Linked DNA regions of Drosophila melanogaster. The protein of the gene in region 2 binds, or shares a complex with, the protein of the main gene of each other region. Each region holds a gene or a part of one and is shown on either strand. Other genes may lie near its edges.

Region 1 (8,978 bases), on a different chromosome or scaffold from region 2:
TACTAGTGGATCTCCAACGATTGGCTTTAATTATTGCTTTCCAGCACTTTTATTAGGTCGTAAGCATGTTGGAAACGCATATCACAGAAGTCATCTTGGCATGCTACACACTGCTCCAGGAGCAGCTGCAGCTTTTCGTTGTCCAAATTCTTAAGCAAGTAATCCCTTAGCAAAAGGCACGCCTGGTAGATATTGGCATCCAGCTGATGGCCGGAGCAGAATGCAGAGACATCAAATGTGAATCCCTCGCCGGTCAGCGGCTCGTACTTTTCGGCATGTCCTGCTGCGAACGAAGCGTCCACCAGGACCACGGAGTCCAAATCAATGAGGTACACCTTCTTGGTGTCTTCGTCGTAAGCCAAATTATCGGCCGTGAAATCGGTTAAGATAATGCGAAAGTCCGCGAATCCAAAAGTCAGCTTGAGGGAGAGCTGGATCAACTGGAGAGCCAGCTCCACACGCAAACCTTCTTCAGCATCGACGTAATGAGCTAAAGTACGTCCTGCATTGGATTGAAAATGTGTTAGTCCGCAGGAGGCGTAGGTGGTAGGCACTGGAAATCCCTGCAGATGCAGTTCCTGCATAAGCAGCGGACTAACGTAGTACATCATGTAGAACCACACACTGGCGGCAGCATGTCCACGCTGCTCCAAGTACGAAACAAAGCGGGGTTCCCTTGCCAGAGTTCGGCAGAGATGAAAACCACCAGGTCGCTCCTCTAGTTCATAGAAATCTTTTTTCACATTTTTTATCTGATTACTCTGTGCATCAATGATTTTTCTTTTGGCCACCAGCTGGACTTCCTGATCCCGGTCTTTTAGCCTTAGAAAGTAAATCGCTCGGCGATCAACGAGCAACGAAATGGCTTTCACAAGTCTACTCCAATCCGAGGGCTCTGCAATTTTCTGGAAGATTTCCCCGCACGGCTCACTCTGTCCAACGAAACAGTCTGGACACAAGCGCAGATCCTTCTCGAAAAGTTCCTGGAACACCTCTCGCTGCGGCTTCACCTGCAGCTCCTGCAGCAGGGCCAAAATGAGCACCACTTTCAGTTGGCCGTGTGACAGGTGCATCACAGGGAGCTGCAAAGAGACGGAAGAGAAACGAATGAAGGGGCTTGCCAAACAACAGAAGAAGCCACACGTGTGTGTATCCAAAGAAATGTGCGTGAGGGCCCAGCCTCCAGTCCACTGGCCACATTACCTGTTTGGCAGCTACACGCCAAAAGTGAACCTAAGCACCGAGCCAAAGAGGCAGCTGGTTATGACCGCTTAACGAAGCGTCTATACCCTTTCGCTACATTTAGTTTAATTTGCTATTAAGCTGTATGTATTTTAAGTATGGAATTTCCCTTTTTACTAGTTCCTAAAAGCAATACCAAATGCTTCCATTTATTCTATTATATTTTTTAAGCACGTCTAAGTTATAGATCTTTAATTTAGTCATGATGACAGCTGATTAGATTATGATACCACTATCGCTTTTATCACACCAGCTTCTGGGCTCATGCCGAAATGGTTATCCCACAAGGTCCGAAGAGTATGGCGTCGGGGGGACGGACTTACAGAAATAACTTTGGTTCTGAAGAAGAGCCAATTCAATGGGTTCAAGGTTGGCCATCACGCTGGGAGCAAGAAGCGAATCAGACGCTTAATTTGTAATCTCTGCAGAGGTGGGAGAGTAGCCATTATGGCGATACCAGTCGCATCCTCCAAGACGCACTCCATCTCGCCTTGCCCTGTACTTCAAAATTAAGTGTGCCCAGAATGGACTTGCTCTGTGGCTCATTCTTTGGCGACGACGAGGAGCATAATGACTCGGCTAAAGATTCAGCACCATTGCCCACGACTTCGCCAGTGCCTCAGACTATCAAAAGAAAATCGCGTGTAAGATTTAGCCGCAGCACCATACGAAAACTCCAACTCAACGAACTGGAACAGTTGGGCTCCACAAACGCCTTTTTCAACTTCCTGCTCGCCCAGCGAATTCGGGAATTGGGCTTGGTCGGTCTCAACTACCTGGATGTGTTCAAGTCCCAGCGACTAATTTCGGGGAAACGCATCTGGAACTGCATGTATGAGTTGGCTGAAAGTGTTCGTCAGAACGATATTTAAACCTTTCGGGATAAGAGGAAACTCGATGAAATCGTCTACCAAATGTATTCGTGCGAAAAAAGACCGAAGATCGCTGAGAACGCACTGAGAGATTGGGAGACGCAGCAGAGGAGGAGAGACCTGAAATCGAAATCGCTTGGAGAACGTTTCCCCAAACCGAGTAAGATCAGTTGAAGGTGGCGCGTTGCGCTCGACGGTTGTCGCTATTCTGGTTCTCGCTCAAGTTATCCGAACTCTTGGAACAGCTGGGTAGTCTGGTCTGGCCTGGCGCATAAAGACGCGATATCGGTCAAGTTCAGACGAAGAAGACGACGACGCGGCGATCACTCAATTAGCCTCACCGTGAGGGCGCGTGAAATTCACTTTTAAATTTCCCCCAACTCGATTTTCACATACACAAATTGCTTTTGTTACGATTCTCGCGTGTGCTTGGTTGAAAAGGAATTTGTCACAGTGCCAAAAGGTGTGTGTGTTCTTCTTGGAAATGTCCACTTAGCTCGTAAACTATTCCAATGTTCTAAAAAGCCATAAATTAGCCCTAAGGTCGCACGTGAAACCTTCACCACCTGGGCTAGCCTAACTTTACGCAACTGAGAACAGAGCAGATCGCGATTTGAGGCGAGTCAACAAAGTGCGCAGCAGAAGTCCAGAATATTGATTGACTTTGCAATCAAATTTGCTCAGTTCGAAATTTTCAGAGTCAGGGAATTAGCACTCAGCTTATTTTCGGGCCACATATTGTTTGAAAGCAGCCCATATCCAAGTTCTACATGTGTGTATATATTATTGAGAGTTATTTTGCTTGTCAGTTAGCAGTAATTGGAGGAGGGCACATAAACCACCGTGCTAGCTACCCATAAATTACACATTAGATAACGCCGACATGTGCTCATCGCTGATTTCGAGGGCCCCCATATAAGTCGCGTTAGCCTGAGCCCCACTTGTCCAACTGAGATCTGTACAAACACTTTAAACCGGTTATATACATATAGTACCCGCTGGGAAAACAAATAGCAAACCCAAGCCGGCAATATATGAATAACCAAGCAACTAACCAACCAACCAGCTGGCTGGTAAACAGTCGCGTCGTAGTATTATTTTGGCTTATTGATAAACAAAAGCCTGTCAAGTGTGCGATCGCATATATATATATATATATACAAATGTGTTTATATATTTGCATTCTTGGCCATGACCAAGGAAATCTGATGCATGTCGCGTAAGTGATAATATACAAATCGAATTACGTCACGTTGACTGCAGGCACTCAAACCTCCTTGACTACATATTATTTTTCAAGGGGATTGCGTTATCGGACATTTAAACTTTTCGCTTTGTGGCACACGCCCTTTTAATTAATAGCCATAAAATAGCAAGCGAAATTGGAAGCGTGAAATTTGATTTTTTCTTAAGTGTTACGACTCTTTCAGTTATTTTTAGCTCGAACTAAAAAGAGTTACTAACTGAATAAACATTAAGAATTACCAAGAACGTATTAAACACAGCAAAGACCTGTTTTGGCCAAACATCTATTTTTTCATTTCAACCGAAATCACTAGTTTGCGCACTAACAAAACTTTAGCTATTTCTTTTGATTTTACATCTCGTATCGCTTTCTATTCGCCCGCGCCTGAATAGTTTCTATTATACTTCGAATGATTGATGGCCGCCTATGACACGGGCAAATTGGAAACAGGTTTTCGAATGGCTCATTAATATCTACCACCTTTCTCTGCCCCTTTCGCAGATGAGCATCTCGGCGGTGGATCGCAAAGAGCCGGGCAGTGTGAGCAGCGGTCTGGGTAGGCGATACGGGCAGCTGCTCCGTGGAGCCAAGTACACAGATTGCGTGTTCCACGTGTGCGAGGAGCAAGTGAAATGCCACAAGCTCATCCTGAGCTCCGCCAGTCCCGTTTTCGAGGCAATGTTCTTTGGTCCCATGCAAAACAACGAGCCCGAGCCGGAAATCGAAATCCACGACATAAGCTCTGCCATCTTCAAGGTGCTGGTGGAGTACATCTACACGGGCGTCGTTGACTACAATGGCCTGGAGCTGGTGGCCTGCATTGAGCTGTACTACGCCGCTGAGAAGTATCTGCTGGAGGAGCTGATCGCCGACACGCTGATGGTTATCACCCGCAAGCTGCGATTTGCCAATATCTTGCCCGCTCTAGAGCTAAGTGTTTGCATGGGCCTCGACGGGTTGCTGGAGGTCTGCATGACCTTTTTCATGCGATGCTGTGTTAATAATGGACAGTATATGAGCCACCTTAAGGAGCACTATGTGCACGTGTCCAAGGAGTGTGTGAAGGCCATAATAGCGGCGTGCAAGGAACCGCACAAGTTACTCATCTGGTATGTTTATGAGTGGACACGACAGGAGTGCGAGCAGTTGGGTCTGGGTCCCAGCGATGCCGACTTAGTAGTGCACGACTTGGGTGGCAAAACAAGCGACTGGCCTGCGGCTTCGGGTGCTAGTGATTTGGAATCACCTGCCCTAACTCCGGTGGTTTTGGTGGAGCGCTGCTATTACAAGGCCTGCAGGCCCTTTACAGTGGATGCAGAAACTCCGCTGTTTCGCTTGCGTCTAAAGTGCTCTAGATTTATCTCCTTGATGGGCTTGGTCCTGAACAGCAGGCTGACTCCCAACCTATTGGGTCACGTCCAGCAGCTGGAGTACCGCGAATCGCTGCGGCTGGACCTTTGCGAGGTGCCCGCTGAAAGCGAGGGTCCGGCCACGTCGCCCGTATGGAGTCACGTTGTCCAGAGCCAGAATACCAAGTACAACTGCAACCTGCATCTTGGCTGGCGACGCGAAGAGGCCTGTGTGCTGAATCCGGAGCTGACCTATGAGCTGCAGATCCGCTGGGACAGCAGTGCTTACGGCGCCGAGTATCCGTGCAGCCTGCAGTCCTGCCAGGCGGACGGAATTCGGTTCACTGACGAGGACAGCTTCAGCGGAAGTCTCGTCAAGGGACTGCGCTATGCCAACCTGGTGTAGCCACTTCAGCCGCGATATCATAATTAGTTAGTCCGTAAGACGTGTATGTATTTATTGCCCTAAGTTAATGTACGCTGCCTCAGAGTTCAATAAACTGTGAGTAATATCGCTTCAAACACAAGACGTCTGCTGATAAATATAAAAAGCCGGTTTGCAGCCGTTTTTGTTTGGCGAACGAATCGAACTCGATCGGGGAACGGCGTCCTGGCTGCGAATACGGAAACTTATCTCACCTGTTGTTGCGGCCACTAAAAAAAAAAAATCGGTAAAACAATAAACTATAATATAATCACCAGATGTAAACAAAGCGAAATTGAACGAGGGACAGTGTGGCCAACTGGTCATAATAATTCTTGCTTAAATTGGGGCGACCGTAAAATAATTAACAGTGAGAAACTGGCTATTATTTAATAACTTAATTTTTGTTTAAATGATTAATGATTTAAAGCTGCTGCGCTGTAAAAGCTTTATTTGCTGTTCAGAATTAAAATATTAATGAGCACTATCTTAAATCTAAACATAAAAACCAAACATTTTACAGTAACAATGGAATCAAAAATGCAGTGGAAAAGCGCTAAACACCCGCGAAACAGTGCTGTAAAGTTCTTCACAGAGTAGTGTTGGCAGACGCCGGGTGCAAAACAATAATAGTCCGCTTTGGTTTTTGTTTACGCTGCAAAAATGACGATTTTGTACAAAGTGGAGGGCAAGGAGTTCAGCAAGGACAGCGTTTTTCCGCACAAGAAGGTCCTCTGCTCAGTCTCCGCACGGAACATCGTTGCGTTTAGCGCCCTCCAGAGCGCCATATTTCCGGCTTCCCACGGAGGAGATGCCGGCGATGGATCCTTGCCGGGAGCGGGTTTGGCCGTAGGCGCGAGCAACAGCCATGTGTACGTGTGCGACATCGTGACGCCGTGGGAATACTATAAGGTGTGCTCCTCCAAATCGCTTATCAGCGTCCTCCAGTGGAGTCCCAATGGGGAGCAACTGCTGCTTGGATACGTCGGCGGTCGCGTCGAGATCTGGCAGCCGAGGAACCAGTCAATTAACCTATGGGTGCTGCAGTATTACGCCACCGTGCCCAGCGAGGACATTATAGAAGCACAGTTCTTTCAGAATGGCAAAGGAGTGATCTTCAATGCGCTGAAGAAGGATCACACCTACTATGCGGAGAAGTTCGAGCGGGTGGAGCAGCAGAGGCCCACTCTCAGCGGATTTGGCGGAGTGGCCAGCGAGGGATGCGTGCTACTCACTTCCTCAGGCCTGCTGGCCGCCTTCAGTCTCCCCGCAATCCAAAAGACATCCGCCGCAGGAGCTGATGGTCCTGCCCACGAGGTCGTCGAGTTGACACCCGCGCTCCACAGCATCGGCATATCGCGCAGCTTCATCGAACACTGCAGCATGACGCCAAGTCCATCGGGAGCCCTTAATATCGCTTTCAGCTGTGGCTGGCAGCAACAGTTGGTGCAATGCTTTAAGGTCTCGCTTTCATTGGAGGGCGAACTGGGTCTGGAGCAGCACTTGGCCATCAAATCCGAGTCCCAGACCAGCATATTTCTGGGTCCTCTTGACGGGAGGCGGATCAGTCACCTAAAATGGACGCGAATAGCCAACGAGGATGTGATTTTTATAGCCTACGCTTGTCCAGATGGTGCTGGCAGCCAACTGGAGCAATGGACATTGACACGCCGTCACCAAAGTGTCCACGCCCTTCTCCAGGGTGGAGGAGGTGCCAACAACAAGCCAAATGAGTTCGTGCAATCGGAAAGCTGGGAGCAGGTGGGCAAAGTGCAACTAAATGCATCCTTGGCGGATATCAGCGTTACACGACTATCGGTATCAACGCCGGACTCTTGCCAAGTGTACGCCATTCTGCAGGACAACAGCGTCCAGGTGCTGGAGCCCAACTCGATGAAGCAGCTTAATCACACCCAGTTTGATAGGTTATCTGACGCCAGTGGAGCAGTAAAGTTCGTTAGCGGCGACTTGACACCTAGCAGCCAAATTCTCCTAATCTTTGATAGCCATGCACAACTTTACGCCATGCAGGCACCTCTGCCGAAGCAAGGAGGATCTGGTTTGCTACTTCTGGAATATTGCATCGTTACAGGTTGCGATGCCAGCGATGTGCTACTCCTTAATCTAGGCAACCTGGAGGCTCTGGTGGAGAAGCTAACCGACAACTTTACGCGGCAACCTTCCTTTGTGCGGCACTTTTATTATGCTAATTTTTTGGCCCTCAAGTCCAACATATGCCGCATGCAGCAGCAGGAGTTTGACAATCTCATTATCCTACACGCAATATCCACCACATTCAAGAGCCTCCTGCGACCGTCTGATCTGGGTTTCCAGGATAAAGGACCTGCCGATAACTTGGCCATCAAGCTGGCCGAATCCATTCCGGATGTGGACACCGTGATGCTGAACCTGGACGCCAAGGACTTTACAGTGGAGCCGGTGATGCTGCAAAGTCTACAGCAACTGATTCAGTGGGTCACCGACCTGGCACTCAACATGCTGCATCGTCTGCCCGAGGAGGTAATGAAGACCAAGCTCTCCGGAAAGCGGCCTAGCTACGATATCAGCCGAGACATCGTGGCCATCAGCAGTCTGCGCGAGCTGCTGGTTATGATCCGCATTTGGGGCCTGTTAAACACCCAGTGCCTGCCCGTCTACACCAAGACGATGGACAACATCGATGTGCTAGTGATCTTGTTTCGTTTGCTTACTCGCCTGGCCCAGAATCCTGCAGAACCGGACGAAATGCTGCTGGACGAGTGCAGCCTGCTTTCCAAGCAGCTCCTAATTCCCCAGCCCACCAAGTTCAACCCCACCACGCTGCTGAGTGCCCAAGGATTCGCGGCCGTAAAGTCGGGACAGCTGCAGTTCACCTCCATGGAGGAGCCAACTTGCTTGCAGGACATGGAGACGGAGGAGGTGGTCTTCGCCAGCTCTGTGAAGGATGGCGTGAGCAATCTCCAACTGGGCGCCCGACCCAGCCACATTCGGAGATGCGCCCGCTGCGGATTCGTGTTCGTGAATAACGCCAGCAAAGTGGCCAAGACGTCGGCCCTCAAGGCGTGGTTTAGTAAGTGGCTGCACTGCCACTGTGGGGGCTTTTGGAAGCAGGTTCACTAGTAAATCTATGTGAGCAATGACCTTAGTTATTAAGTATGATTTAAGCTTCAAATAAAAGTACATGATTGCCAGCAATTTTAGTGAAATCAAGAAATTTAATATACTAAATATATTTCTTCTTTGCACGACGTGCTCGTTCAAAAAACTTAAGCCACAGAGAAGTCACCACCATACTTCACTATTTCAAAACTAAATTTATTTGAATAAAATATATTTTTTAACTCTATCTATGAATTGTGGTTGGTGTATTTGCTAACGGTTTGATATTAACAACAACAACATATCGAAGAACTTGCATCACTAGCATGTCAATCGATATCAGGACGTCCAATGTGTCTGTCGGCTGTCGGCAATCGATATCTCCTCTGCAAATAGATATTTTCAGAATAATTGGCTTATTTCACTTCGCCCTAACGCTGCAGTAATGGTAAGTGCATCGAGGTGCAACCTGTAGTCGCCAGAAGTCGAAATTCCTAGAGAACCGAGTGCCCCAGGTCCAGGCTTAACCGAGTGCTGAGTGCCCACCCTGTCGACGTCAAAAGAGGGCTGCCTGTGGTGAGAAGCAACGCCCCCCCGGTCCAAATCCCACGTCCATGTATCCCTGGAGCTCCTCCTCGTACGGCGGCCAGATTCCCAGTGCCGCCAACGTCCGGGTAAATACTCCGCCAATCCCAGATTACGAATCTTGGATATGTGTAATCGTTAATCCACTTATCTTCAATTTG
Region 2 (7,259 bases):
TATTTGAAACTAACCTTAATTTTTTTATTAGTATGCGCGAGTACCTTCTTCAACCCGTGGACCATCCGCTCGCATACGCCTCCTGCCCGGCATTGAAATTTTCATTCCATTTAATTTGATGACAGTTCGTTCTACATCTTCTCCGTTTTGACTCCTCAATCTGGCCACCGGTCCACGGCAGCTTATAAAATTCCTCAGTGCGACTGTCGACAATTCCTGGGCCATCTTTAGACCCCGACTGCTGCTTCCCTGAAGTACACACACTTCCGACAGGAACGTGTACTGCAAGAAACCTTGAAGCAGCTCCTAATCCCGGGACTTGGCTGCGTCATTATAGATTACGTAGATTATACGTATTTTGGTAGGTTCATTTGGATTTTCGACACCGAAGTGTGGCAGACACTGTCACTGTCACTGTACGTATCATCTTGACATAGCCATTTTCAATTTCTCTGTATGCTGTCAATGTTGATGACCCTCATATTATAGCTGCCTGTCAGCCTCACCTCGTAATTCTTCCATAGCAGACCAGTTAAGGATTGTAAGCCCACAGTAAACTAAATTCCATCAATCCTACAGAACCGCGCCATATGTCCCTTTTCTAAGCACAGAAAATAGATTCGATGCTTCTTTGCAAAGTTTATTCGAGACATTAGAGACGCATGAGTAAACAAAGACACTAGAATAATTTTAAAAAATGAGGAAAACCTAAAATGGTTCAAAAGTGTGTTTTGGGCGTTTTGTTTGTGTTTGCGTGACCAAAGTGTCTTTGGTATGCCGATTAAAATGCCGGAAGACAAACAATAAAACGAAGAAGAATCAAACATTTTTCAATGGTAAGGTCGGTTTTGGGCGGTTTGTTCACGCTAGAGTGGGCATGGCAAAACTTTTTTTTTTGCAAAATCGATAAAAGACTAATATTAATACGAAATAATATAAAAACATTTTTAAAAAGTGTGGGCGAGGCAGTTTTTGGCGGTTTGTGGGCGTGGCAAAAAGTTTTTAGGAATACCGTTAGAAATTTACAAAACTAATACTGTTTAACTAATAAGCTCTTCTATTAGCTATTTGCAAAGAAAAGACGATTTCTATGCAGCGATCTCGAACGATAATTTATTTTTTTATCAATTGCACGGGTCCCACGGCCACACCTCCCGCCCAACCGACCGAGTGGCGCTGTCGTGTATTGTTTATGCATAAATTACTAAAGAATATGATGAATAATTGGAGAGCGACTTATTTGCAGAGGAAACAGCAGAACTCCAAGTCAAAGGTGTAGGTGCGACCAAAGACACTAGAATTGCATGTGGTATTGACTTGACCGACGCACAGCAGTTCGTAGAAGAGACTAGCGCCAATCATTAAGTCTATGGGTAGAAAACGATGACACTTTGGGTCCGCGAGCGTCAGATTTAGGAATATGTTTCAGCTGAAAATGTCAATGTTTAGGCACGACTGACTTTCAACGACATTGCAAGCAATGGCAGCAGTAATGTCAGTCGAGTAGTTATTTACTGACGAACCATCTGCCTTAAAACTAGAATCGCCAATTGCGGTAACACAAGCTGCCAATAATGCCTTCATAAGTTGAGCGCCGTCTCTCTTTACAACGCAACCATGCATACATTGCTTTCGTTTCGGGGCAATTCGATGATCGAGCACCCTTACCTTCAACTAACTCGAAAAACAAGCTTTTGCTCTCGCGGAGCGAAAAGACCGCCTCTCCTACACCGCTCCCCACACAGCCACAATCGAACATTCCGGGTAACTGTAACACTGCAATAACAAGTGCAGTGACCTCCCTAGAAACTGTCACTGCTACCACAACAACAACTTCGTTAGCGGCCCAACTAATCGCTGTGCCAGCTGTAAATAATTCTGCAACACCGACCATTGGCAACAACAATAATGGACGTAAAAAAAGAACCAAAACAAAAGCAGAAGGCGATTGCCAAGAATACGGCCACACCAAGGCATACTGCTGTGTGGTTTAACGTATAGCAAATACATACAACAAAGTCAATTTCTGCTCTCCGCATTCGATGTTTCAACCACCCTTAACTGTCCCAAGCACTACTCTTGGAATTTTCTTCGCTAGCGCCTTAAAATCCGGACTAGAAGTCCCCGCCTCACCGACTAGAACTGCTCATTCCGAACATAAATTGACAAATATGCAACAAACTGAACAAAGTGGCATTGAAGCTATGATGCTATCCCTACAGAAAAGCATGAAATATTTCATAACGATCAAAACGTGCAAAATTTCCTGATACAACTTCTTGTATCTTCAAAATCCCCATGCTGGCTTCCCTACGGATATCTATTCACTTCATACACAAGAACTCACACAGTTCATTACCGAAAAAAACACTGGAGTAATGCTACTATCAGAAACGCACCTCACAAATCATTCAGATGGTAAAGCTCTTGGAGGCACTGGCATACTAATCAGAAATCGCATAAAAACCACCTCAATCTACGTCCATAGTCTAACTACTCAACAATGGTTCAATGACTCTAGCCGCAGTCTACTGCCCACCACGCTATCCAATACATACTGACCAGCAGACCCAAGAAAAATCCCAGACCCAGATCACACATAGAACTAACGCCGGCATTATCTGCTAAGGAAAATATAGACAAGTCAACGGACACTGTTGAAAATATTCTAGTTTCGGGTGCAAAGTGACGTATGCCCACCAGCACTAAGAACCTTTTGTAGAGAAAAGACAGTGATGAGAAAAGAGCCAGAGCAGTTGCTGACCACTTACAAATTTTATTTCTACCAAATCCTGCTATAAAGTCATTATTCTCCCTCCTTTAGCAGAAGCAAACTTAGATTATGTGAATTAGCAAAGGTTATCAAAAAGCAACTGAAGCGATTTTGGCTTCGACCTAATAACTCAAAAAATCCTTATTGAACTCCCAGTGTGATGTTCTGCACATGTGCTTGTTGTTCAACGCAATCGCCAAGCATGGATACTTCCCTCAAAAATGGAAAAAATCTACCATAGTAATGATTCCAATGCCAGGAAAAGATAAAACGCAGCCATCATCATATAGACCGATACAGTAACTAACTTATCTCTAAAATTTATTTGAAAAAATGCTACTCCTGGGAATAAGCCCTCGTCATGGAAAAAACATGGAACCATCGAACAGGCCAATCGAATCACGTCAGAAATTCGTACTGCTTTTGAGCATCGAGAATATTACACAGCCATTTTACTAGACGTCGCGCAGGCATTTGACAGTGTTTCTGGATGGACTTTTGCTTAAACTAGCCAAGCTATTGTTCCAAAACATACATAAGCTACTGAAGTCGCAATAAGATGCAAGGAACCTTCACTGGCTCATGCTCGCTCTCCACTTAGCGTGGAGTTCAAAGCTCTCCTATACAACTCCGTCTTAAAACCAATCTGGACTTATGGCTCCGACCTGTGGGGCATCCATTCAGCGAGAACAGCCAACAATTCTGAGAATTCTGACTAGAGCGTGATACCTTCGGAACGAAGACATACACAGAGAGAAAAAAATCAAATTATTTATCGAAATAATAACTGAGAAGAAAATTAAAATACCTAGTAAAACTGACCACCCATTCAAATCCCCTCACAAGAAAACTAATCGGAGGCACAAAGTGTTCGTATCATAAAATCTTTGTTGCTTTTAAAAACCTTTAAAAAACAAGAGAGGTAGCTTTAAAATTTTTCATATGACATCTTTAAGATATGGTGAACCGATTTAGATATGTTAAAAATTAAAAGAATAATTATCGTGAAAAAGGGTACGGCTGTTCTTACTGATATTTATACCCACTTAATTGGACTGAAATGCTTTTTTCACTTCGTTGCAAGCTTATAACTGAAATCGATATACCCTCCTCAAGGATATACCAAGATTGTGTGAGAGAGGTTGCAGACTACTTGGAGACCAACTGCTTCCTTGTTATAACCGAAATTGTGATGATTTTGAACAAGACAAGAGGGATCGATGTGCAACGTGTGGTCATATATTATGGAGATTCCACTGTTTCCGACAATCTTATGGTAGTTTATATCGTTGGAATGAAGACATTATTATGGCACAGTGTGAACAAGAATAATTCGTCTCATTGAAAGAAATCACGTTTTAGTGTGGAACTCATATTAATAGCATTTCTTTTTTTAAGAGAATAGTCGCTGCTGTGAGGTATCTGTAAATAAGACATAAAATCAATCGATAAATAAATGCTTATATATTATAAAAATCACCAACGGTCATTGTATGTTGATATTATGTTGATTATGTTATGTTGATATTAAAAATGTTAATCAAAATTTGAACTGGCTAATCAAACTTAATTCCATATAATTTTTTGTTTTTCAGAATTATTAACTCTGTAGTAAAATGGCGGATCGGCTTACACAATTGCAAGACACCGTTAATCAGGTAAGTGACTTCGTATTAAGAAATAACCAGTTTTTTATGTAAAATAATCATTGCAGCAAGCGGAGCACTTCTGCAATGCTATTGGTGTAATTCAACAAACGTCCCTTCCAAGTAAATTTGTTAATTTTGAACGCATTGGACCCCAAACGCCAATCCCATGTCCGCCGCAAGAAGACTATGCCCAATTATTTGCACAGTTAATTGCACGATGTGCTAAAGACATCGACACCTTAATCGAGTCTCTTCCAAATGAAGACAGCTCCATTGAACTCCAAAATTCTAGCCTTAAGAGGCTCGAGATCGAAAACCAGGGAACTGCAAGAGACCTAGAGGAAGTAGTGCAAAAAGGCGAACTTTTGCTAGAAAAAATGCAGTATTCTTTGGAATGCATTGCTCAGGCTCAATTAGATATGCAAATAACACTCAAACATGATTTACAATAGCTGCTTAACACATTTTTGTATAAAGGCAAATTATTTTTAAATTTAAGATAATGTATTTATTGCATTTTCGTTCGTGTTTACAGATCAAATGGGTTTTAGTATATACATATTGTTTTTATAAGTAAAGTATTTTAGCTTAATTTAGACCTAAACCATTTTGAACAGCACCTCTGACCTCGTTGATATAATTTTTATAATAATTAATTATAGTTTTAAGTTATAAAAAAAACTATATATACTTACACGTACCCCACTTTGGATTTTATGAACAAATTAAATTTATGTGCTCTAAAATATTTAATTCATTGTTGTAAATAAGTATTAGTTAAGTGTACCCCGACATCCTTGGGCGCCGCATAGACAAGGTATTTTTTCGTCTTCTAGTGGAAATTTATAGTCGTAAGTTATTTCCTCGTTGATACCAATGGGTTGCTTTGAATATATTACTATCTTCTTTTCAGATTCAATAGTTATAACCTTAGCGTAGCAATTCGGCTGAAAAACAAAATTTTATGTTGGTAACATAATGTCAGAACATCCAGCTTACTTACATTGCAACTGTGATTTATAAACCGAGCTAAGTTTCCACATTTAGTTGCGTCAATTATAGTTTCCATGTCAATTCGAAACAAATAGGAACTCCCAATCCCAATTGCTTCATACTTTGTTTCTCTTAGATCAGCAACTACAGGTCGAATCATCTGACCAACATATTCAATAACCATTTCGTCTGCAGCTATGGGCTCCATTGCAAATAATCCCCAATCATGTATCGCAGATTTTGCAAACTTAAGCTGTTTCTTCCGAAACTTTAGCTGATTAAATTTTAAAAGCTCAGACTCACCCATAGAACCAAAGGCTGTTAAAAGTCTTCTCTGGTTTGAGCGAGCTTCGCGGGAAATTCCTTGCATTTTAGAAATTAATTTATTGTGATGATGATTTGTAAGTGCTGTAGGTTCATCGCTCCGATCTTCATTAAAGGAATCTTCTGTATTGGCTTTAGCATAATGGTACTTATGCTTAGCCTTTTCTCGAACATCTAATTTGTAAAATCCTTCAGTTCGCGCACATCCAGTCTTATGTCGGATCAGTTCGTCGTCTTTTCTTCGCTTTTTTGATGGCGGTGGCCAAAAAGCTCGGTCAGTTGTGCAGTGATCCACCCAGTGAGTATTATTTAAAAACATACTAGAAAACAAATGTCAATAAAATAAAAACAAGAGAGAATGATTTAGTCGAGTTAACCGACTATCAAATACCCGTTACTCAGCTAGTGTGAATGCGAACGCGATATTTCATAATTTTTCTGGATATTGATATTGGGGAATAAAATGAGAAAAAATCTAGAAATTGTTCAAAAGTGTGGACCGGTTTGACGGCTTTAGGGCGTTAGAGTGGGCGTGGCAACATGGGTCAACAAACTTGCGCCGCGTCTTAGTCTCTAGATTCTGTTCGCTGAATCTCAACCTTTCAGCTTTTATAATTCCTGAGATCTCGACGTTCGTATGGACAGACGGACATCACTATCCTGATCAAAAATATATATACTTTGTATGGTCGGAGACGGTGCCTTCGAAGAATCTAGTATACCCTTTTACTCTATGAGTGACGGGTATAATAATATATAATAACATAACTAATAACACTCACGCGTACGGTTCCTTATGCAAATGGTCCAAATAACTCATTTTTATAAAGTTTATATCTTCGGCATCAATGCCTTTTGTTAAAAAAGTGTACAAAATAACCATTTCTTCATTCTGATCACGAGTTTTATACATATCACACGGAACAAAATGTACATTTTTGTGTGCCAAATCGGGCCATTCATCTCCGTTTGGTGTCATTTTAGACTTTACATTTGACATTCTGGGGGCCAAATCTCTCTTTTTCTTTTGAATACATATTGGGTCCTTGCGAGGTCGGCCGGGACCTGTCCTCGTCATTTGGCTAACAATTGCAATGTTCTCTGCTTCTCGTTTTAAAATGTTTTTAGTTTCATTCACCTTACCAGATGGATAATCGCCCAAAGAAACTGAGTGTGGCGGCAACGAATAACAATGCTCTAGCGCAACCTGACTCGCCTGAGAAGCTTGGCTGGAACCGCCCTCAGAATACACTGGCGATTGAGTTCTTTTGGTTTTACCCTTTGAATTTGTATACATTTTGTTACAACCGTTTGTAAGAACATCCCCCTCTTCATGAGGGCCAAATTCGTTTATATCGTTTTCAACACTTATTATATTGACTAGAGTAGTGTCAACTTTACTTGCACTTTCAAAACATGATCTTGTTTGGGAAATAGCTGTTTTTCTAGTTTCGTCATTTTTATTTCTTGGGGAGTTATTGTTTTTTACAATGTTATTAGGCGACTGTAGGTTTTTATCC
Region 3 (6,930 bases), on a different chromosome or scaffold from region 2:
ATAAGATTTTGCGCGGCGATATATTTTATTATTATTAGAGCGCTGTGCAACACTGTCACAAAGCCGATAGCTTCGATAACGGCCGATAAACAGGTAATCTTTGTGACATTTGGACTTTTGTTTTGGACCTGATTTGGCCCCTTTTCTTATCGTTGGTTGCCCCAGTTACGTAGCATCTCCACTTCGAACACCATGTCTTTCCGCCCATTGGTCGAGGGCGACTGCGGTGGAGTTAATCCTCTCATGCAACTGGGCGGACAGTTCACCCGCGATGTTGCCCACAAGGATGAGGGCTATGTGCAGCGACACTTCGAGCGCGCTGCTCGTCCCGAGGACCAGTTGATCAACGAGTTCCTGGGACAGGTCACTGCCCCACCGCAGTCATTTCAGATGGACACTCTGCTCCAGGAGATGCGGGACATAAATATTCACGGAAATCCGCAGCAGCAGATGCACTCTCAGCAGGCGGAGCAGTGGGGACAGGACTTTGCCCGCGGACTGGCACCCGCCCTGCCCAACAAGATGATCCACATGCAGGCACAGCAGCAGGACCTGCAGCATGCCCAGGAGTTCTTCGACGAGCCCCTGATCAGTAGCCAGAACTTTCGGTCCCTGCCGCCATTGCGTCAGCCTTTGATGCCCATTGCGGCAGGACAGCAACAGGACCCCTTCTTTGACTCCGCCATGGAAACTATAATCACAGATCATCTGCCACAGGCGCCACAGGGGGAATCGCTGGACGACTGGATCAGCGACTACCAGCGCAGCACCGAACAAAAAGAGCAAACCGCCGCCAACTTCAACGAAAAGTTCTGGGAGCGGCTGCAAGACGAGTGGCAGAAGCTGGCCGACGAGAACGAGCATCCGTGGCTGTCGGAGTACAACGACAATATGGACGCTTATAAGGAGTACGAGTTCGCCGAGGGCAACCCCATGTCTGATGTGGAGAACCCGTTTGAAAAGGGTAAGGAGTACCTGTCCAAAGGGGATATACCCAGCGCAGTTCTATGTTTCGAGGTGGCGGCCAAAAAGCAACCGGAGCGCGCTGAGGTCTGGCAGTTGCTGGGCACTTCGCAGACAGAGAACGAAATGGATCCCCAGGCCATTGCGGCACTTAAGCGGGCTTACGACTTGCAACCGGACAACCAACAGGTCCTGATGGCCCTGGCCGCGTGCTACACCAACGAGGGCCTGCAGAACAACGCCGTGCGCATGCTGTGCAACTGGCTGACAGTGCATCCCAAGTATCAGCACCTGGTCGCAGCCCATCCGGAGCTGCAGGCCGAGGGCACTTCGTTGGCTTCGTCGCTGATTGGTCCGAGTAAGCTGCGCGATCTGCAGCAGATCTACTTGGAAGCCGTTCGACAGCACCCTTCGGAGGTGGATGCCGAAGTCCAGGATGCCCTCGGCGTGCTCTACAATCTATCTGGGGAGTTCGACAAGGCGGTGGACTGCTACCAGTCCGCTCTGCAGGTGGATCCCCAAAATGCGAAGACATGGAACCGATTGGGGGCCAGTTTGGCCAACGGCTCGCGCTCCGTGGAGGCGGTGGAGGCTTATCAGCAGGCGCTGCAGCTCCAACCGGGCTTCATCCGTGTGCGTTACAACGTGGGCGTATGTTGCATGAACCTTAAGGCCTACAAGGAAGCTGTGGAGCACTTACTCACAGCGCTTACCATGCAGGCTCACACTAACGCCGCCCGAGAGCTGCCCAATGCGGCGATGGCGGCTACCTTTAGAGGACAGAACCAGATGTCCGAGTCTATTTGGAGTACGCTGAAGATGGTCATTTCGCTGATGGGCCGCAGCGATCTCCAGAGTTATGTGAGCGATCGCAATCTGGCGGCTCTTAATGAGGCCTTTAAGGATTAACCGCCCCGCAGCTTCTTTATCACTGCTTTGGGAAAGTCCGTTGTTGTCGTGTCATGTGGGTGTGTAAGGTTGAATTTGAGATATTTTTTACTCTGGCAGTGTAATCATTCCCTCTCGGTTCTTTTCTGTAAATTTGTATATTTTCTTACATTTAAGAAATTAAATAACTGTTGGATAAATGCGATGTGCACTTTTATTGTAAACTACGGCATGCCGCCCAGTCGCTTGTAGTCGATCTTCTCGAGCTGCACGAGTGGCTTTAGTTGCTCGGCAAACACGCGCATTTCCTCGCCGACATTCTCCTGCCCCGTTGGCGCCACCACAGAGAGTTCCACTATGTAGCTTTGTGAGATTGGCTCGTTGGCCATGTCCTGCTGCTTGCCGGGCACAATCTTAATGAGCTTGGAGACGGTAATCTTCATGCGCCCCTTGCGGAACATATAGCCTGAAATAAGTCCATTTGTCACTATCCATTTTGGCAACCCAAGCGTAATATATTTCATGATTCCAACCCTTTGCTATGTACTCGAACTCCAGGCGGAAGCCCATTTCCGTGAGGAATTCCAAAATGCCATTGGTGCAGGCGCAGTCCATGCAGCTGCGTACCAATGTAGGCCGGCGCAGATCCACCTCGGGGTTTCCTAGGTAGCGCATCTGAAAGGGTGCATCGCGACCAAGGGCTCGGCGCACGCGAAGAAGCAGCGGCTGGTTGGCATTGGGCTGGCGAAGGCTCATACACACTTCCAGATCGTGAAACGGCTCCGGCGAGGTGTCCACATTGTCGCAGAGTCCCTTTAGTCTGATAGTGGGTAGGCGGTTAGACTGTTAGTCGGGTGCAAACGATTCAAATCTGACACTGGGTCTCCCACCTGTGCATCAAGTGTTCCACGGCGGAATCCAGGATAGATCCCTGCAGCAAGTACTCCAGGTTGGGCAAGAAGCGGTTGTTCATCGCATGGGAGAGCGACTCACGGGCCGACGACACAATCGCCATTGGCTAATTTTGTAAGTTTGGGTGTACTATGGTATTAAATTAACTGAGCAGTAGTTTGGTTTTGTTTTTAGTTTCATTTCCTTGGAAGAATTCGTTTTACTAGTGATGCCGTTTTAGACATTTTCGAACAGCACTAGCTAGATGCCGGAAAATCAAATAGTCTATCGATAACGATGAACGTAAATCGACGCGCACAGAATAATAGCAAATACGAATTTTGCTTAAAGCATATTCATAGAGATTGATTTACCGTAAATGCCCCAACGACGCCCCCAAAATGGCGGATCATAAGTATAGGCTCTTCAATGCGGTCGACCCGAGCAAAGTAAAAGTTCCCTTCAATCAAAAGTTCGCCAATTTGACGCTATCCTCCCACAAAAAACGACTCCAGGTGTCCCATGCGCCGAAGGATCATCCAGAAAAGAGGAACGACCAGAAAACAAGGAAACTGCCAGCAGCTCCCATGCGCGCCAATGTGGGAGCACCCGCTCCGTCCTGCGGGGCAAATACGGAGGACACAGAACTCGACAATTCCGACTACATGGAAGCCTTGCAGCTGAGCGCCGACGGCTGCAGCCAGGATGTGGCAAATGTGGGCGATGTAGAGCTCCTGTCCGCTGGCATCAGCAATTTGAAAGTGCAGCCCATAAATGAGGAGCACTCGGCCAAGCCGGAGATCTCCATTTGCATTTCCTCCACTACGGAAGAGAACGTATCCGGCGACGACGACGCCGCCTCCTGTATCACCATATCCGATTCTAGCGAGGATGAGCAAGAACCCTTGCCTCCCGATAGCATGGCTGTGAGTGAACGGGAAATTGTGGCTAATCCCGGCCAGGAAGACATACCACAGCCCATGCTCACAACCGAAAAAGTGCAGCGCATCGAGGCTTTTCTGCGCGATGTGTCCATAGAGCGACGCGAGATGGAGTGGAATGGCCCATTGACACCGCCCCCCCTCTCTTCCAGCCAGCGGCAATCCCGTCTAGCCGATGCGGACACCGAATCCATGTCGCCCACCGACGAGGACTGGCAGCCACCCACTACCAGGCCGATTTACAACAGCACACAACTGGCGAACAACGATACGCAGGTGAATACCATCTGCTCAGCAGATGCCACTCGATTGGATAGCAGCAAGCGGTTGGCAGACGACGAAACGGAGGCGAATACTCTCGGATCGGAGGAGCTTGAGCCCACATACAGCAGCAAGCGTTTAGCAGACAATGACACCGAGCCCAACACCCTGTGTTCTGATAGTTCTGAGACCCATAACTCGACGATTCACAACAATGAGCCCGTTCCTGATGAATCCATTGAAATACCGGAAACCAGCAGCGAGGGCGAGCTCACGCCGCAAAAGGCCAGCTCTGGTTCCTCCACATCGGGAGGGGACGAACACGGTTCTATCCAGGTCAGCAGTATTAATATTTCAGCGAAGATCAACATTAAAATCAGCATTCCCACTATGGAGTCAAGTTCGGCGGAAGACGACGATGAGCATTACTCTTCGCCCAGGGCCACTAAGTCCCTGCCCAGCTCGGAGGAGGTGCAGCACCAAGAGCACCAGCAGCAGGACCCTCAGAGCCACCAAAAATCCATGCTGTCTGTGGATGATGCATCCGAGGATGAGCAGTTTCTCACCCACGCAGAAAAGCTGCTCAATCAATTGTACGGCAAGTCTTGGCAGACACCAGATGTGATCCGCACTCTAAAGCGCTCCAGTGGTAGTGGCGGTAAACAGGCTCCTCTGAGGCCCAGGAATATTCAAGCAACAGCGGTAACCACCGCTAAAAAAAAGAAGCCCAAGCCAGATGAAAGTGTTCTCGGGGACTTCAGCATATGTAAGAATTTATCCATGCTTTTTATCCTCCAACCGTTGAGTCACACGCGCTTTAATCCCCAGTTACTAAACCTCTGCGCACAAATCAGACTCCTTTAAACTCGACTCGTCTGCCTCCGATGCGCGCTGTCCAAACGGAGAGACGTCCGCGGACTCAAAAGCCGTTGACACGCCCACGCACCAATCATATAGACGAGGATCGCTGGCGCAAGCTCATAGATTCCGACAGCGGGACAGACGCCTCCGACGACGAGGATGCAGATGCCACTTTTAGCGAAAGCGGTAGTGATAGCGACAGTGATAAGGACAAGGAGAACAAGCAAAAGAGAGGCGACCTTACCTATCTCGACTTGAGCAAAGACGAGGTGGAGGTGATCAGCAATCCCGACCAGGACTCGCCGTGTAAGAGTTGATATTAGTATTTTAAATGGCTGACTTAAATGTTTTAGTAACTCATTATTCTAGCGCCAAAATGTCACCGTCGCCTGGACGACATACTGCGATCATGTCGCGCCAGCGTTAAGGCTAAACTTCCTGCCACTCCTGTGCAGCAGCCAAACATTCGTCGCCAACTTTTTACCCCTAACGCAGGATTCGAGAACGATAACCAAGCTAAGGAGATAGTAAACAGGGCGTTGGACCTGGACATGCTGGATGAACTGGAGAGCGACTACCTACCCGGGACTCCAGTCCACAGGAGAGTGCAGGAGGTAAAGAAGAAGCTTGGCATTGGGCAGCAAGGTCAGACAACGCCCCACGAGAGCCCAATTCTCAAGTTGCTTACGCCAAAAACGGCTCCGCCTAAAGGCACTGCTCCGCCCAAAACATCTGCACCGCCAAAAGTTTCTACCCCCCCAAAATCCACTAAGCAGATTCCAAAACCTAGGAAGCAGAAGGATCTCTCACCCGTTGCGAGCGGCGGCAAGTGCGGCTTTCTGAAATCCCTGGAGGGACAAGTGAGCCGCGATAGGGCGGACAACGAGGCCTTCTTCTATCGGGAAAACTTCGCAAGAAATAAGGATCAGCTGGCCCAGCATCTTTACAAGATGTATAACGCCCAGGTGTTCAACAACGAGCTGGATGTGCCCATCACCTGGTCCAAATTGCTGCGCAACACTGCCGGCCGGTGCATGAACAAGCGCAAGTGGGTGATTCTTATAGAGACAACCAGATATCCTCCTTGAATTCGATAAATATATATTGTTTGCAGACTTAACCAGCGTAGCAGCGTGGTGGAACTGAGCGTCAAAGTGCTGACTACCGCGGACCGCCTGCGTTGCACCTTGATACACGAACTCTGCCATGCTGCGGCCTGGGTATTCAATGGCGAGGGTGGACACGGACGGGTGTGGAAGATGTGGGCACAAAGAGCCAACGACAAGTTCCCCGATCTCCCGCAGATCAAGGTCTGCCACAACTATAGCATTGAATTCAAGTATACCTACAAGTGCCTGAGCTGCGACAAAGCGTAAGTTCTCCCAAGTGATAAAAAGAATATTATTGTCATGCAGTTTTTACGCATCACAGGTCACATGCCCATTCCCGATCCCGCAAGGTGGAAGATTTGCGCTGCAGGATCTGCCGGGGACCCATCACCCTCTTCCTGAACAAAAAGGACAAGCAAGGAAACACCGTATCCACGCCGGCGGGCGAGGCGAAGGGATTTGCTAAGTTCGTTAAGGACAACTTCCAGAGACACAAGCGCGACAACATGACTGCCGCACAGGTGATGCGCATCCTGAGCGTGGAGTACGCCAAGCAGAAGGGTCAGCCGGCGGAGGAGACAGCGGCGTCGATCGCCAGCCGAGTGGAAACGCTGACACTGGACGAGTCGTCCAACTAGCTGGGTTCTCTTTTGAGTTTTGTTAAATTATGTGCTCCAAGCCCTAAACCATTTTTGGTATATCATAGACAATTTGAAAAACTTAACTGAGATCTCAGTTCGTGCGAAGTAGTAGAAGTAGTATATTTTGTTTAATGTATTATATATTTTCTTAACCAGAAACATGGTTTCCATTAAAATTAAACGGACATTTAAAAGCTAGTGCTGTAAAGCTCGATTTTGCATAGCCGGTGTCGGCCGGCGGTGTTGGTAAAGGCGATGCTTGGACTCATTACTTACAGTGAAAGAGTATGTCTGTTTATGTATGTTAATATATGCCTAATACAACCTATTAAATAATTGCTTTGCACAATCTTGAAATGTTAAATTCTACACTGG
Region 4 (8,624 bases), 7.3 Mb from region 2:
CCAATCGCGGCATGGTGGTCAAGGAGCTAAGGATCCAATTGAACTCGGCGTGCTCGGCAACGGCGGACTGGACAAAGAGGGTGCTCTTGGTGGGATCGATGCCACATGCCAACAACGTGGCGGCCATGGTGAAGATGTTCTCTCGCAGAAGCGGCGGATTGTGGGGCATGGTAATAGAGTGCAAATCCACAATACACACGGTGACATCGTCACGAGCATTCTGCAGCTGCACCCATTTGCGCACGGCGCCGAGATAATTACCCAGATGCAGGGAACCCGTCGGCTGGATGCCACTAAAGACTTTCCTCGGCCAGCGGGTGTTATGCTGGGTTGGGGTAATATATTAGAGTCTTGTGTTATGTAAACTATTTCTACGAATGCACTTACTTCTTCGTGGCCACTGTTAACGGAATTACCATGGGGGTGTACGTGCTGCTTGTTTCCACCGGTTACCTGGGCCGTCGCAGAGGGCGTTCCAGCCGTCCTACTAGCCAATCCCGGCAAGAAACTCCTCGCCTGAATGCAACGGCGCTGGGAATACACAGCTGTCTGTCCCTTTTTGGCCACCTTAGACAGACTGCGATGGAGCTTGCCAAATCGGAACATTGCAATGAGCTATGAATTTTGTACCCCAAAACTTTTGAGTAAAAAATATTGGGAATAATGCGGTGCTAAATGTGTGAACAAAGCCCAAAAATAAATTATTTGTTCGAAACGGCCGAAATTTTGACACTGAGCGTTCGCGAGCGTTGCCAGATGGCTTTTGAAAAGCCGGTACGACAGCTGTGAACAGTGATACTCAGCTTGGCGAGTTTTCCGCTAAATCGTGGATTAATATTAATATTCAAATTTAATAAAGAATGTTATTTATTATCATTTTTTTTATAACTCTCTATTTAAGGGTATTACCTATTTACATCTTACTTGTGAACGTATGGCTTGAAATTTAATGTAATTGTTTGATGGTAAATAAATTGTAGAGACCAATTGAACAATTTTTTTTTTTTAACAGGACTCCTATTATTTTTATGCTTATAGCTTTATTAGTGGTACACCAGAAAATCTAACGACATTGAAAAAGAATTAATCTGCAGAACTGCAGTTTCGAGTTTTCAAACAGTGTTGTATTTATTCTAGCTTAATACACATATTACATTGCAATTAACGCCTGGCGCCATTACCATTATTTATATTTTCCACTTTTCTGTTCCTACATTGAGAGTTACAAATATGCGGAGACTGTCGTTTCGGCCGTCAGGATAATTTTTCGAATAGGGGTTATTCAAAGATTTCAAACGCGGTGCAAAATTCTTCACTATCTGGCAGAGATTGGGAAGTGCTTAGAAGTTGATGGGTTTGCCAAAGGCAGCTGCCACATTGGCCTCACGCAGGGCCTCGGAACATGTCTGAAAGAAGGAATTGTGCGCATTAGGTTCGAAAGGTTCAAATCAGATTAGGTAATCACTTACTGGATGCGCATGGCAAACGCGGGCAACGTCCTCGGCAGCGGCTCCGTACTCCATGGCCAGCACAGCCTCGTTAATGAGCTCGCCGGCACCAGGTCCGATAATATGGGTTCCCAGGATCTTATCGGTGGCCTGGTCGGCCAGAACCTTGACGAAACCGTCGGTGTCGTTGTTGGTCTTGGCACGAGAGTTGGCCAGGAAGGGGAACTTGCCCACCTTGTAGGCAACACCCTCCTGCTTCAGTTGCTCCTCGCTCTTGCCAACCCACGCGACCTCGGGATGCGTGTAGACTACACTGGGCACGCAGTTGTAGTCGATGTGCACGTGGCCGCCGTTGATGCCCTCAATGGTGATGAGGCCCTCATCTTCAGCCTTGTGCGCCAACATGGGTCCGTGGATGCAGTCGCCGATGGCGTAAATATTGGGCACCACAGTTTGGAAAGTGGCGTTGACGGGGATCCTGCCGCGGTCATCCTTAACAATGCCCACGGCCTCCAGACCCAAACCTTCGGTGTAGGGACGACGTCCAACACTGACCAGCAGGGCGTCGCACTGGATCTCCTCTTTCTCGCCAGACTTGGCGTTCTCCACGGACACGGTGACGTTGTCGCCGCTGCGAGAGGCAGCCGTCACCTTGGTGCCCAGCTTGAACTTAAGACCCTGCTTGGTGAGCACCTTTTGGAACGTCTTGGAGACTTCGTTATCGATGCCCACGCCGCCGATCGTATCCATGAACTCAATGGCAGTGACCTCAGCGCCCAGACGCGACCATACCGAACCCAGCTCCAGGCCAATGACACCGGCGCCGATGACAACCAGATGCTTGGGCACCTTGGCCAGCTTCAGGGCGCCAGTGCTGCTCACAATAACTTCCTCGTCGATCTGTGAAGGTTTTTGAATGGCATGCATTAGTAATCAAGCGCGCTGTAGAGGTTTTGCACTTACTTCAATGCCAGGGAAGGGGGTAACCTCCGAGCCGGTGGCGATGAGGATGTTCTTGGTCTTGACAGTCTCCGTGGAGCCGTCGGATTTCTTAACCTCCACCTCGTTGGGATTGACGATGGTGCCGAAGCCCGTCAGCTGTGTGACCTTGTTCTTCTTGAAAAGCATGGCAATGCCACCGGTCAAAGCCTTCACGGCGTTGGACTTTTGACCCATAAGCTTCTCCAGATCCAGGCTAACGCTGCCGCAGCTAATACCACGTTTCTCCAGATCACCGGAGTGGGCCATGTGGTAGTAGTGGGAGTTGTTCAGCAGCGCCTTTGAGGGAATGCAGCCAACATTCAGGCAGGTGCCGCCCAGAGTTGCCTCCTTCTCCACGCTGACCGTCTTCATGCCCATCTGGGCGGCCTTGATGGCGGCGACATAGCCACCGGGTCCGGAGCCAATCACCACGATGTCCGCCTCGTGGGTGCTGGAGTAGCAGCGGGCGTTGAGGGCACCCAGAATGGCGGCATTGGTGCGCAGAGGAGTCTGTAAAGACGGCAGATTACTACATGTTGTGGCACCTTATCATTTATCACGCCAGTCGCACGCATTTCGCACTAATCTTCGGCCGACTATCAGCTGATAATTGGCCTAATTAGCGACCTTGAAAACGGGGCCAAACAAATCCCCAAACGCCAGTGAATCACCCACCGGGATCATATGAGCACTGCAGGTGATCCAAGTGCATTTTCCAGCCTTTTCCTGCCCATTTCTCGACCCCCTCGGTGAGGTTAGATTGCATAACTTGAGGGGCGATGGCGTTTGGGGAATCGGTTATGTCGCCCGATCCTTACCTTGGCTACTGCCGAAACAACATGACGGAGCGTGAATTGCATGGCTGGTGCGGGCGAGTTATGAGGATAATCGTTATTTAACTACAAACACAACACTAGTTTGATGTGTGTTTTTCCGACTGTTTTTCGTGTTGTGGGGCTCGGAGCGGTCGCAGGGCTGGCGATGTGCATTCGATAGTGGTCATATGATGGCCGCGATGCTATCGATTGTTTTGGTGATTTTCCACTCTGTTGGAATTTGAAATTCTAAAACATTTTCGTATGAAAAAGATGTGTATAAAAATATTAGCTTGATGATCGTTCAAAATACGATATGTCCGTCACTCAATTGCTAGTTTATACAATATTCACTTTATGGGTCATTTGTTGTAGCAAAAGCTACCTAAAAACAAGCCAACTATACGTGTAAGCCGGCTTTTATAGTTTTGGCACCCATTAATTAATGTTTTTGTACGTATAAAATAAACTGTAATAAATAAACTGTAAAATAACTGTTTTAAAAATATATAACTCAACGTACATACGATACATATATAATAAGAGTTCCAAAGTAATATTAACTTTATTATATCTATAGGTAATTAAAAATGTATTATACGATGAATATTCGATAGTTTGCCCTACAGTACAACCCTGTGTGGTATTCCCCATCTGGGATATTTCCCACAACACTTTTGGTATTTTCACGTCGCGTTCATCTCGCGTTTTCGTTGAAGCCTCAGTATTTCGCTAGCTGTCGCAATGCGGTCACACTGGTTCGCGGACACAACAAGATGGCGAGACTTGCCCCCGAAATCTGTTAGAAAACGCCACAAGAGCAAATAATTAGTTCAGTTTTCGACCAGAAAAGAGTCAGCCGAAGTGCCGGGCAGACGCGGCGCATTTTGCAGAGTGTGAGCTTGGCCAGCGTTGCCCGAGAGCCGCGACAGGCGACACCTTCTGCTGGCCTTGCCTTGTTGCTGTGCCCCTGTGTGCGTGAGCGTGTGCGGTGCGGTGCGATTGTGTGCGTGGGTTGCCAAGAGTGAAGAGAATCGCTGAGTTTCCAAGATGATGAGCAACTACGGCAACATGATGGACTCACCGAAGTCATCGCCCCACGGCGGCGGCCGATCACCCGTGGTGGCCCGTCAAGACTCATCCGGCACCCTGAAAACGACCATTTCGCTGGGCAAGACGCCAACGATCATTCACACGGGGCCATTTTACTCCATGAAGGAACCACCCGCCAAGGCAGAACTTACCGGCGACAAGGATCTCATGACCGAGTACGGACTGCACCACACACTCACCAAGTTCAAGGAGAAGAAGTTCAAGGAGTCGCTGGCCTCGTTTCTGCAGAACATCCCCGGCATTAACGACCTCATCACGCATCCCGTGGAGAATAGCACGCTGCGGAGCGTGATCGAAAAGCCGCCCATTGGTGGAAAGGAGCTTCTTCCGCTGACTCCCGTGCAGCTGGCCGGATTCCGCTTGCATCCCGGACCGGTTGGTTTTTCCAATATGCTTTTAATTCGCTTGCTCAGTTTGAAAAATGACGAATCTTTAGATACGGCACATTGAACATCTTAGAATACATTTAGACGCTATTCAATGCTTTGCGTCTCTATACATTTGCATGCATTAATTTCGCTTTTTAAAATTTGCATATGAAATTTGGATTTAAGTGTCCTTGCACAGACTGATCTACTATAAAGTGTTATTTGGTCGCACCTTTTCTGTCACTTATTTCTATAATCACCGTAGTATTTTAGAGTTGTAATTCATTTTCCTTATGTTCAACAACAAATTTGAAACACAAATATTTTAGTCATTAATCACAAAAATTACTTAAATTAACAAGAGTGTAAATGTTGGTTTTCCCTTTAAACCTCTTTTGAACAGTGTATATTAAGTCAGTAGTTCGCAACGCAGTGATCTATATGAACAGCTGAGTCGATAAGGCCATGTCCGCCTGCCCGTTTTCTTTCAGTTTTAAATTTTTGTTGCAAGTAGTGCATAAATCAGAACGCGCCAGTTTAGGCCACTAATTCATATTGCTGCCATATGGTTTAATATTATGATATTCAAAAAAAAAAAAAAAACTAACCTTCCTTGTTGACGGATTGTCCTTCCTTTCTTGTTATTGAAATATTGGCATTTAATATTATTGAGAGTTTTCTTTCACCCTATATGCAATCTAATAATAATAATAATTCATCTTAAAAGGTTTCGTGAAATATTTTTTACATGTCATATATTTCAAACAATGGATAAATCGTTACTAGAACAAATTGCATAAAATATATTATTTTTTTCCTCTGCACTTTCACATTGCTAATTTATCCGATTCTGGTGCTCCTTTCAGCTGCCGGAACAGTATCGTACCACATATGTCACACCTGCGCGTAAACACAAAAACAAACACAAAAAGCAAAAACACAAAGACGGGGTGACCACGGGACAGGAATCCACGCTGCTCGGTAAGCAATCTGCTGAATTATCGAGCAACTCGATCACACATAATCCAATGATAACCATCTTGCAGACTCGGCCGGCCTGGAGACTTACGAGAAAAAGCACAAGAAGCAGAAACGCCATGAGGACGACAAGGAGCGCAAGAAGCGCAAAAAGGAGAAAAAGCGTAAAAAGAAAAACCAGAGCCCCGAACCGGGCGTGGGCTTGCTGCCCGGAGGAGCGAGCTTGGGCGGAGCAGCGGGTGTAATGGGAGCCACTAGTCTGGGATCGCTGGGAGGAGGACCTGGAGGACCCGGGCTGTCCAGCCTTAGTGCCAGTATGGGACCTGGCGTTGTGGGGAACATGAATAGCTTCTCCTCATCGATGCAGATGCAGCAGCAACAGCAGATGCCCATGCAGCAACAGCAGATGTCAAGTGGCGGTCTGCTGGGATCTGTGCTGGGCACTAGTGGCGGTCCAGGTGGCGGCGGCGGAGGAGGAGGTGGTGGCGGGGGCGGCGTCGGTGGGAGTCTGCTTATGTCGCAGTTTTAGGCAGGATCCTTTAGCAAAATAGACTTGGCTCATTACCTCTCATCAGCAGACGCACCCCAAATGGCAACATAAAAAAAACGCAGAGGGCCTCGGTCCTCTACATGCAATTTTCTCGATATCGTTTCGTGTCCTAGTTATTAATTTATGATTATTGTAAATGTAAAATAGTTTATTTCTGTAATTAGCCAACAATTTTTCGTTCGTTTTCGCGCTAGCTTAATGAGATTTATTTAAACGCAAGTTATGGTACAAAACGCAAGAACGTTTTCGCTCTCGATTCCAGCTCTTCCCTCCACACAAACACACCCCTCGCCACGCCGCCACAAAAACGCTGCTTTGCAACCTCTTTAATTTGCTTACCAACCTTGTAACGTGTGTAGGGTCAGTATTTCAATTAAATTTCTGCAATGGTTTGTTCTTCCAGCAAGTTTATAAACACAAAAGAAAGCTGAGATTCAACAAAATAAAAATGCCTGTACTATAAGTAATTAATTTTAGTGATTAGGCACATAAAACAATAAACAAGCATAAAAATGATCAAAGTGTGTGTTTACAATAGTTTGGGGAGCTTAGTTCATTTTTCGAATATAAGCATTTGTTGCACAGAAGTTCTGCTTCCAAGGAGCCCTTAAATTCAAATTTGGCGCCAAACACTTGTTAGCACTCTGTTGACTTTAACATGGCGCATTAACAGCTACGCTGAAATCTGACAGATAGTAACATAGCCTTAACAGGCGCCAACAGCTGCTTTAATTCTCAGGGAGTTTCTCGCAATCGAGAGTCAATTAATAAATTAAAAGTGATGTGTATAAGATAGTCGTCGCTGCAAAGCCATAGATGAGTTGTAACTTCGCCAGATTTTCGCGACAGGCAGCTATCAACATGTACAAGCAGTCGTGCACCAATCTCCTGGAATTATCCTCCGCCAAGGTGACCGAGTGGCTAGCAGGCTTCGACAGTGTAATAACCGACTGCGATGGTAAGTCGGTGGTGGGGATGAGATACTACTAACTCGCACCCACCCAGGATTCCCCCCAGGAAGTTGCGTTACATAAAGATATGTGTATACCACATTCTGCCCAAATACGTCAGCAGCCAATAGTTTCTGTATTGTGGCTGCGTCGTTTATTTCAATGTCAAAGAGTGAAGTGCGTGATATGGCGGGAAGTCGACTTTCGGATGCCCTCATATCTTGTTAATCATCGTTATATTTAGTAAAGAGTAAAGCAGTAAAGAGCCGTTTGATAAATTCCCTAATGCTCATAGTGATGAGCCCTAAGTTTATTAATATTAGACAATCTTATCAATTCAAGGAAATCGTTATTATATACGCAATATCAAAAGTTGTGTTCAACCCCATTATTTATTAATTTTATGCAATAATGCCTTCTTTAATCATAACAGCTTTTATTTCTTTTCGTTTATGTATCTTTGCGAAGTTACCAATTTACTTAATTGGAATTAATTTCAAACTGTCCTCTTTGCCTTTGAATGATTAATTTATCAATTTTAGAAATAAATTACCAACAATATGAGTATACTTTTTGTAGATATTGAGAAATCAATAACGCCCTTTATAAAACTAGCAATGGCATTAATAAAACTAACAACTACAAAGTGAGAACCTATTTAGCACCGTTCTTTTTTTAATTTTAAGAAAATTCTTCTACAATATTAATCCATTTTTTCACATCAGGTGTCCTTTGGATCTATGGCCAGGCCCTGGAGGGCTCTGTGGATGTGATGAACCAGTTGAAGGGTATGGGAAAGTCGATCTACTTTTGCACTAACAACTCGACGAAGACCCGGTCGGAACTTCTCAAGAAAGGCGTCGAACTGGGCTTTCATATCAAGGAGAATGGCATTATATCAACGGCCCATGCCACAGCTGCGTACCTGAAACGACGGAACTTCAGCAAGCGGGTATTTGTGATCGGAAGCGAGGGAATCACCAAGGAACTGGACGCCGTGGGCATTCAGCACACTGAGGTGGGCCCGGAACCCATGAAGGGATCGCTGGCCGAGTTCATGGCACAGCATTTAAAACTGGACACGGACATCGGAGCCGTGGTCGTTGGCTTCGACGAACACTTCAGTTTTCCCAAGATGATGAAGGCCGCTTCCTACCTAAACGACCCGGAGTGTCTGTTCGTGGCTACCAATACGGATGAGCGTTTCCCCATGCCCAATATGATAGTACCAGGCAGCGGGAGCTTCGTGCGGGCCATTCAAACCTGTGCGGAGCGGGATCCTGTAGTGATCGGGAAGCCGAATCCTGCCATTTGTGAGTCTCTGGTCACGGAGAAGAAGATCGATCCATCGAGAACTCTGATGATCGGAGATCGAGCCAATACGGACATACTTCTTGGGTTCAATTGCGGCTTCCAGACCC

What was found.
Region 1: MED21 (region 2) and MED16 share a complex: the UniProt entries of both Drosophila melanogaster proteins name them as parts of the mediator complex.
Region 3: MED21 (region 2) and MED18 share a complex: the UniProt entries of both Drosophila melanogaster proteins name them as parts of the mediator complex.
Region 4: MED21 (region 2) and MED19 share a complex: the UniProt entries of both Drosophila melanogaster proteins name them as parts of the mediator complex.

What each region holds. Positions count from the first base shown.
Region 1 is NT_033778.4:22,177,415-22,186,392, forward strand, and holds MED16 (mediator complex subunit 16), read left to right. Parts: upstream 1-5,723; 5' UTR 5,724-5,796; coding exon 5,797-8,253; 3' UTR 8,254-8,478; downstream 8,479-8,978. Other genes in the region: CG11170 (uncharacterized protein), read right to left, coding at 27-1,073; CG11275 (uncharacterized protein), read left to right, coding at 3,862-5,115; Vps35 (vacuolar protein sorting 35), read left to right, coding at 8,847-8,906. UniProt on the Drosophila melanogaster protein: Component of the Mediator complex, a coactivator involved in the regulated transcription of nearly all RNA polymerase II-dependent genes.
Region 2 is NT_037436.4:25,112,834-25,120,092, reverse strand, and holds MED21 (mediator complex subunit 21), read left to right. Parts: upstream 1-4,146; 5' UTR 4,147-4,264; exon of another isoform or gene 4,265-4,368; 5' UTR 4,369-4,389; coding exon 4,390-4,431; intron 4,432-4,487; coding exon 4,488-4,874; 3' UTR 4,875-5,169; downstream 5,170-7,259. Other genes in the region: Set1 (SET domain containing 1), read right to left, coding at 5,196-5,369, 5,426-6,059, 6,522-7,259. UniProt on the Drosophila melanogaster protein: Component of the Mediator complex, a coactivator involved in the regulated transcription of nearly all RNA polymerase II-dependent genes.
Region 3 is NC_004354.4:1,861,950-1,868,879, reverse strand, and holds MED18 (mediator complex subunit 18), read right to left. Parts: upstream 2,972-6,930; 5' UTR 2,867-2,971; coding exon 2,742-2,866; intron 2,695-2,741; coding exon of another isoform or gene 2,672-2,694; coding exon 2,385-2,671; intron 2,318-2,384; coding exon 2,076-2,317; 3' UTR 1,993-2,075; downstream 1-1,992. Other genes in the region: Pex5 (peroxin 5), read left to right, coding at 1-93, 166-1,872; Gcna (germ cell nuclear acidic peptidase), read left to right, coding at 3,144-4,710, 4,773-5,111, 5,175-5,853, 5,920-6,177, 6,237-6,552. UniProt on the Drosophila melanogaster protein: Component of the Mediator complex, a coactivator involved in the regulated transcription of nearly all RNA polymerase II-dependent genes.
Region 4 is NT_037436.4:17,841,862-17,850,485, reverse strand, and holds MED19 (mediator complex subunit 19), read left to right. Parts: upstream 1-3,984; 5' UTR 3,985-4,294; coding exon 4,295-4,732; intron 4,733-5,591; coding exon 5,592-5,706; intron 5,707-5,771; coding exon 5,772-6,232; 3' UTR 6,233-6,761; downstream 6,762-8,624. Other genes in the region: TrpRS-m (Tryptophanyl-tRNA synthetase, mitochondrial), read right to left, coding at 1-325, 388-606; CG7430 (uncharacterized protein), read right to left, coding at 1,341-1,406, 1,470-2,348, 2,412-2,939, 3,248-3,289; CG5567 (uncharacterized protein), read left to right, coding at 7,070-7,211, 7,929-8,624. UniProt on the Drosophila melanogaster protein: Component of the Mediator complex, a coactivator involved in the regulated transcription of nearly all RNA polymerase II-dependent genes.